Canis lupus familiaris: one gene and its partner. The protein of the gene in region 2 interacts with the protein of the main gene of each other region in a pairwise test. Links are inferred from orthologs where the notes say so. Each region holds a gene or a part of one and is shown on either strand. Other genes may lie near its edges.

Region 1 (3,664 bases), on a different chromosome or scaffold from region 2:
AAAAGCAAAAGCTCGGATTAAAAAAAAAAAAGACAACTGTTAAAGAAAATGTTTAAGTCAACATTGATTTTTGTTTCAGACAAGGATATTGCAACTATCACTTAAAGTCTGGTGGCACATTCTTTAGTAGGTCCTTAAGGCAATATATTTAAACTAATTTACAATTTGATTTGATGTTAACTTTTTAAACATCACCTCAAAATAATGCCCTCACAACAGCCTTTTTTTTTTTTTTAATGTATTCAGATGTTTCATAAAAAATAATGGTGGCTTTATTATAGTAGTGCTCCTTAGCACCGCTATAGTTAGTTAAGGGTCTGACAGGTTTCCATTAAGAACACCTATTTCTGAGTTCACCATAAAAGATCATATCGGAACCAGTTGGGTAGTGCACAAAAAAGCAGTTTTATCAGTTGCTGGTGCTTTTTTTGTACTACTAAGTATCAAAAAATTTTTCATTATATCTTCAAAATCCAACTTCTATAAAGTAAATCAAATCGCCTCATGACTTAGACTTCAGAACAAAGTAGAGACATCTGCAGTTATCAGTAAATTGCCACCTTTAATCCATCCTGCAGTGCCCTATGAAAGGGTCACAGAAAGACAGTTATGACCATATGAAAATATGATTCTTGATACAGAATCAAAAGTTATTTTCAGTTTCCTTTGCTTTTATAAAGTCCACAATAACAATACTTAAATGCACTTTTTTTTTCCTGTGATATAATTAAAACCCAGTGTTTTATTTCAATTGAACTTTAAAATAGAGTCCCTGGTCTGAATTAGACTTTAAATCATACTGTAAACATATATTTGGTATAATTTATTGATCATCATCCAGTTGCTCCAAAAGGGTCCTTCTGCGCTTTTCCAATTCCCCTTCACTCAGTTCACTGCCAGAAGTATCCCAATTCCCCTGAAAAGACATTGAATAGGATTACATCTTATGTCAGTACTCAAAAGGTTAGTAGTATTGAACTTTTGAAAAAAAAAAAAGAAAGAAAAGGCAATCAAAATGTATATGGATTCTCTTCCACAGAAACAAGCTGCTCATCAGAGGGTTTAGGACTGACCTCTCTTCCAAAAGCCTGTTAATGAGTTGCTAACCATTCTCTGGCTTTATTAGGGGACATGGTGAACTTTGGTGCTTTCAGGTTGCATTAATATGTAAATCAGGCAGAAAGATACACAGTGTTTTTTCTTTCCCTTCCTCGAACACCTCTGTATGTGAAACATTTGGTTTCCATTTAATGAAGCCAGTGTTCATAACCTAAAGCACTATATTCCTTGCTAATTTTGTAGATTCCAGGTCACCTAAGTATTTTATATTACAAACAAGTATTATGTTTTTACTTTAAGATTTTATTTAGCCTCTCTGTATCTCTCATAAATAAATACATACATATATAAAATCTTTACCAAAAAAAAAAAAGATTTTATCTATTCATGAGAGACACAGCGGCAAGGAAGACACAGGCAGAGGGAGAAGTAGGCTCCCTCTGGGGAGCCCGATGTGGAACTCGAACCCTGGATCCTTTGATCCCAGGATCGGGATCTGAGCCAAAGGCAGGAGTTCAACCACTGAGCCACCCAGGTGCCCCAAGTATTATCCTTTAAACAAACTATCCTTAGATAAACATTGAAGATTTATGAGAATAAACATTTAAAATTTATGAGCAGGGCAATAGTCTGAAGAACACTTAAAAAATATTGTATTTGTGAAAAACAATCTTTAAAAAGTAGATAGTTCATCTATTCTCCTTCCTTCAGAGATTTCATTTAACTGATTACAAAGAACAAACTGTTAAACGCTGTTATTAAGGAAACAGAAAATCTTCACCAAGGATGTGCACGAAACTCACCAGGGCAGCTTTTAAAAAGAACCTTTATATCAACTGAATTAATTAAAACACTAAAGGGACGGTCATAGGTTGATTTAGTAGCATTATTCCTGTTAAGTCCACAGTATTTGTGGAAGAATGGCAAGGCTAAGACGATCGGTGTTACTGTGCTGTCGTTTATACACACACACACACACACACACACACGGGAAATTAAAGACTAATTTGATATTAAAATGTTAACTTTGGCTTTTAGTCCCCTCCTATCCCTCTGCCCTCACCTCTTCTCTCACAATGATTACTCCTACAAAGTTAACATTTTGAAACTGAACTTAGTGTATATCTGGAGAACCTATGATCTGAGAAACCCTGATCTGAGTCTCTTATATCCTTTAAATTTTCTTCATTTTCTTCAAATGGTAGCTAACCTAGAAAAAGTCCATCAATGTCATACTAACCACAGTATCTATTTTTTCTATTCTGGAAACCCAGGTATGAAATAATTCTGAATACTTACAGAATCCTTTCCAGTCTTTTTCTTAGGTGATTTGTGTTTTGATTCTGATCTTTGTCTAGTTCTATCTTTTTCACTTTCTCGGTCTTTTTCTTTTTTATCCTTCTCTCGCTCAGCATCTGACTCTGGAGAGTCCTATGTAAATAAAAAATAACATTAGCATTTTGATGAAGAAAACCATTGTTTTTTAGTATCTCCATTTAGATAATATTTAAGAACATCTATATATTTATATTATCATAGGGCATGTGTTCCTAGTGCAGTGAAAACTGAACTAGTAACCTCAAGGATTCTGGAACATATCCAAGATTCATTGGAGGGAGTCTGTCTATCCTTTGGGAAGGGTGACATTTTAATACAGTAACATCGCAAAAGAGTTTCACTAAAGTAGGGAAGCATACAAAATGGGAGTATGCCTATAATGTAAAAGTAGACAAACATTACACTTTCCACCAACCCAATAAAATATTGGTTTTTTTGTTCAGCTATGTGTACAGAATACTGTGATTAGGTTAATCACCTAATAGGTTGATCATCATATAATAAAATTCCTCTCTCAAAACTATAACTGAAAAGCAGGATTTTTTATTTAAAGGATTTTATTTATTTAGAGAGAGCAAGGGGAGGGACAAAGGGAAAGGGAGAAAGAGAATCTTCAGCAGACTCCATGATGAGTACAGAACCTAAACTTAAACCCTGGAGATCATGACCTGAGCAGAAATCAAGAGCTGGATGGACGCTTAACCGACTGAGCCACCCAGGTGCCCCAAAAAGCAGGATTTAAAGGGCAATATCAAAAAAATTAAAAAGAAATGGCAATGTCACTGCCTAAATAACTGGTCCTTTATTAGATATGTACAAATTCGAGTGAGTGGCACGAAGGAAAAAAATCTCAATAGGTAATAAACACCTACTCACTTATGTTTCAAAAAAAACCTCCTTAGGATATCTTGATACATACGTAAAATTAAGAACTAAGAGTAGAGAAGGAGGTGAACATTTAGACTTATGATTCTCACCACAACTGCAAGACACACACAAACACTTGGGTCTTTCTCTAAGATTGCTTTAAAAAGCCAGAGTGGGAATCTTAACGCTGATGTATGTTTATTTTAAAAGCTCACCAGAAGGTTTTAACGGAAGATTATGGTGAAGACAAATGATGTAATTCCTGAGTTCAGGTGTCCACTGGAACTGTGCTAGACTGCACAGGAGTAGACAGAAAAGGGTTCTATCGCCGCTGAGTAAGCTAAGGGCTAAAGCTAGGGGCAGTATAAAAATTAAAAGCTTGCTTACAGATTTATGTCTC
Region 2 (4,378 bases):
CCCCGCCAGGCCACAGCCACTGGTCAGGTCTCCAGATGGGCCTTGTCTGCTTCTCACATCTCCCTTTCCAATCCTTCCCCTGGCCCCAGCCCTGCCCCACTGCTGGCAGAGATGGGAGCCTCAACAACCAAGACCTCTCTGGCAGCAGACGCTGAGAGCCAAGCCCAGCACTGTGCACAGAGAGGGCGACCGACCGTGGTGGCCTGCTGAACGAGCAATAAATATTCCCCAACTGGTCACTGCTGGATCCCCCTGGTCCCTGCACACCCATATCCTCACCCCGAGTTCCCCACATCCGCAATCCCATTTCCTCCCTCCCCCTTTACACTCATCCATGCTCTTTTCCTCTGGGAGGGCCTCATAGACCAGTTTTTCCCTCCTCTGCTTTGCTCAAGTACCAGTGTCTGGAACTCCATGTCCAGGGGTCCCCTATCCCCATCAGACTAGGAGCAGGGACCGTGTTTCTGTCTCCTCTTGGCTCTCCCCTAAGCCCAAGCCCCACACAGGACTGTGATCTCCTCCCTAAGGGCTTACAGAGTATGGATGCAGTAGCACTGGGGGGTCCCTCCCCAGCCCCAGGGGAGGGACCCCCCCCACTGCTCCTCCGGCTTCCACTGCCAGCATCTGAAGTGGCGCTGCCAGAGGTGGAGGGCTGTGCAGGGGTAGCAGGTGAAGCAGGAGTGGTGGAGGGTGCTGAGGCAGGGTCTGGAGTGGAGGGGGAAGAAGCAGTAGCAGCAGCTGGATCTTGAGCCCTGAGAGACAGAGAGATAAAGTCCAAGCTGAAGTGAACAGGAAGGAGAGAACAAGGATCTCCTTTTGGTGCAGCTACTGCCCTAATGCCACCACCTTCTCAGCAACCCTGGGCCAGGTGGTGGTGGGGTAGGGGGGTAAGGGGGCTCCCCCAGCCACAGGGGTGCCGCTGGGGGCAGTATCATCTGCCAGCATTCTGGGAGAGCTACATCAGGTTCCTTTCCCCTGTAGGGGAGCCGTCCAAGGGCCACCTTCCTGGGCACTGGCATGGCCCTCCAGGTAGGTGAGCGACAGGTAAGAATGTGAGTACCAGAGGAGGAAAACAGGCCCAGTGAGAAGTTGGATCTACTCCTCTCCTGGACTTACTTCTGAGGGGTCTTGATGACCAGATGGACAGTGAGCCCATCCTTGATCCCATGCTGGTTCAGTGTGTCCCCGTCCTTGAGGATCTTGCCTGCGAAGATCAGGACCAGCTGATCCTGCTGAGCCTTAAACCTCCTGGAGATTTCCTCTTTGAACTGTGGTCAAGAGGCAGAGGTCACTGCAGAGGTTCCCTGGGCCCCACCCACCAGGGACCCTGCCTCTAGTTCGGGAAGTCCCTTCTGCAGTATAGACTCCATCCATCCAGCTGCAGTGAGCTGTGCCTTCATTAACCAGAGATGGACTAGTGACAGGCTCCCCTGGGCTCAACCCCAGGGTCTCCCACCCTAGAAGGCCCAGCCTTCCCTGTGACTCTCCCCTCAGTCCCTCCCCGCTGCTCCCTGTGGTGACAGCACTGCCCTGGTGGCTCTCTTGGTCCCAACTCCTTCAGCAACCTTGGACTCAGACCCTGACCCCTGCAGCGTTCCATTCTAGCCACCAGGTCTCTCTGCCCAGGCCCAGCCTTCTCGTAACAAGGACAACACACGGACCCCACAATCATCGCTAAGAGCAGCGACCATTCAGAAGTGAAGGGTCGCAGACTGATAAGATACACATGGGTCGTTATCTCCACTTTCAGGCGAAGAAAACTGAGGCTCAGAGAAGTTATGTAACTCACTCTGGGCAGACTGGAATTCGGGTCCTGACACCAAAGCCCTGGCTCCTGACCCAACACTCGGCCTCTCCACTCGGTTAAAGCTGATTCCAAATTGAGCTCTGCAGGGCAGAGGATGCACACTCTGGAATGTGGTCATTTCACATTCCAGGGGGGCAGTGATGGCACTAAAGTTTGGCTTGAGGAGAGGCAGGCCCCCAAATCTACTAGCTCTCCCTCAAACCAAGCCCAAACACGTCAAACAGGCCACTCTCTGTCAAGAGAGTGCACTTGCTAAGCCAAGGCAGCGTCCAGATCCCTGCCTTCCAACCAGATGGCCTCTCTAAAGCCCCGCCCATGTGAAATTCTGGAGCAGCCACAGGGGGTGGCGAACACAGGAGGTGTTCCCTCATTCACTCGGTCAACACACTTTTATTGAGCACCTACTGCACACAGCAAGTTCCGGAGGGGCGAGGGCCAACTGTAAGGGCCTTGATTTGAAAAGGTAGGACGGATCAGGGCGGAGGGAAACGCTCCCCCAGCACCCCGCGCCCCAGTCCCGGGCGCCCCCGGGCGCCCCCGCCTCCCGCGGCCCCTCGAACCCCGGCCAGCCCCCGGACGCACGCGGCCCGCATCCCCAGTGTTTCTCCCCTCCCCGCTGCAAGGGGCCCCCTCCCCGCTCTCCGCCACGCCCCCAGCCCAGGCCACAAGGCCAGCCCCGGCCTGGCATCCGCCGCACGCGCCGCGTTGGCCAGCGCCCCCCCAGGGGGCCCCCCAGCCCCGCTCCTGCCCCCCCGCCCCTCCGAGAGCCTGCGGGGCCCCCGCCCCCTCCGCCGCCGGCCTCCCGCCCCCCCCGCCTCGGGGCCAACCCCTCTCCGCAGATCCCTCCTCCGCCACCCTCGCCGCTCGTACTACCTCCTTGACGGAGGCCCGATCGCAGATCACTATTTCCTCCTTGTCCTTGGGGGTCTTGACGGTGACCCGAATGGGGGGCCTGGCCTCGTCCCCGCTCGGCTCCGCCATGCCGCCGCCGCCACCCGGCCGCCCGCCAGCCCGCCCCGGCCCCTCCTCCCCGCTCGGCCGCCCGCCCGGCGGGCTCTGCTCCGGCCTCCGCCCCTCCGCCCCTCCGCCCTCCCCTGCCCTGCCGGCCCCTCCCCTCCCCTCCTCTCCCTTCCCCTCCCCTCCCCTCCCCTTCCCGCGGCCGCGCCGCCCTCCGGACCAGTTGCGCTCACAGCGCCCCGGGCGGCCTGGTGGGGGCACTGCAGCCGGGACCTCTCGGGGGCGGGGCCTCTCTGGGCGGGGCGGGCCTCTGGCCTCCAGCGTGGGCGCTCCACCATCCCCGCCCGCCACCTACGCGGGGACTCAGGCTCCCGGACCTGACGCAGTCCCCGTGGCCGCCCCATTCTCGGGGCTCCCGGGCCGGAGTCCTTCATGCCTGGACGTCCCCCCAGAGTCTCACCTCTGGGACCGACCGTCCCCCCAGGGGTCGTGGCCTGCACGGGGTTGGCTAAGGACGGCTCCCAAGGGAGCCAGCGTGGGCTGGGTTCGGCCGGCGTGGACTTTCTGAGCCCCGATCCCGACCCCCAGGGTTGTGCACGGCGTAGGAAACTGCCCTGAAGAGTAATCGAACGTGTGCCTGACCAATACTGGGATTTCTTTTTCAGTTAGTGGTCAGGGATTGTAAAGCGGGCATGCTGACTCTTCTTTCCCCGGGATGGGGGTAGGGGGTGTTAAACGTCCTTCCAGTCCTGCCAGGTCCTTTCGCTCCCGCTCTTCCCGCCCCCCACCACCACCGCGTGGTTCCCCTGGAAAGGCGAACTACACTTCCCGGGGTGCGCCGCGAGGCCGCATGAAACTACAAGTCCCGGCGCCCCCCGCGGCGGAATGGCGTGGCGGCGTTGCGTCGCCGCCCCCGAGCCCGGCCGGGACCTCCGGAGTTCGGGGAGGCTCCCGCGGAGGCCCGCGGGAGGCAGCTCAGGGGCTGGCGTGGAAGCCCAGACCTGGGAGCCGCAGGCATGCTGCGTCCCAAGGCTCTGACCCAGGTGCTGAGCCAGGCCAACACCGGCGGTGTCCAGAGCACGCTGTGAGTGCGACCGGGGAGGACCCCGGGGAGGGAGGGTCTGGGGGGCGCGCTCTGCCCTGACCCCCGCTTTCTCGAGGCGCCCGGCGGGAGGCGGGCTGAGAGCGCAGCCGCCTTTGTCGCCGCCCCCAGCCCATCTGTATCCCTTGCCGCCGCTCGCCAGGCTGCTGAATAATGAGGGGTCCCTGCTGGCCTACTCCGGCTACGGGGACACGGACGCCCGGGTCACCGCGGCCATCGCCAGCAACATCTGGGCCGCCTACGACCGCAACGGGAACCAGGCGTTTAACGAAGACAATCTCAAGTTCATCCTCATGGACTGCATGGTACGGAGCAGGGCCCACCCCCTGTCCCGAGGGGTGCCATGGGGCCACCTGGACCGCATCCTGGGGTTGGAGGGGCGGGGACGGGATCTCCGAGGGTGGCTGAGGGCTGGTCTGCTGCAGCAAGCAGTGGTGAGGAGGGAGCCGGCCACCTAGTACTGACCGGGCTTCTGGTCCGCCGGCCATGGTCGTCGGTGGAAGCCTGGGCAG

What was found.
Region 1: the proteins of UBQLN4 (region 2) and pre-mRNA-processing factor 40 homolog A interact in a two-hybrid assay, tested with the Homo sapiens proteins (2 studies listed by BioGRID and IntAct). The link is inferred for Canis lupus familiaris from reciprocal best matches to the Homo sapiens genes UBQLN4 and PRPF40A.

Annotation. Positions count from the first base shown.
Region 1 is NC_049240.1:55,413,825-55,417,488, forward strand, and holds part of pre-mRNA-processing factor 40 homolog A, read right to left. Parts: coding exon 3,652-3,664; intron 2,491-3,651; coding exon 2,359-2,490; intron 917-2,358; coding exon 824-916; 3' UTR 1-823.
Region 2 is NC_049228.1:41,747,995-41,752,372, reverse strand, and holds the start of UBQLN4 (ubiquilin-4), read right to left. Parts: upstream 2,843-4,378; 5' UTR 2,789-2,842; coding exon 2,681-2,788; intron 1,269-2,680; coding exon 1,117-1,268; intron 753-1,116; coding exon 535-752; intron 1-534. Other genes in the region: ragulator complex protein LAMTOR2, read left to right, coding at 3,781-3,848, 4,009-4,171. UniProt on the Homo sapiens protein: Regulator of protein degradation that mediates the proteasomal targeting of misfolded, mislocalized or accumulated proteins.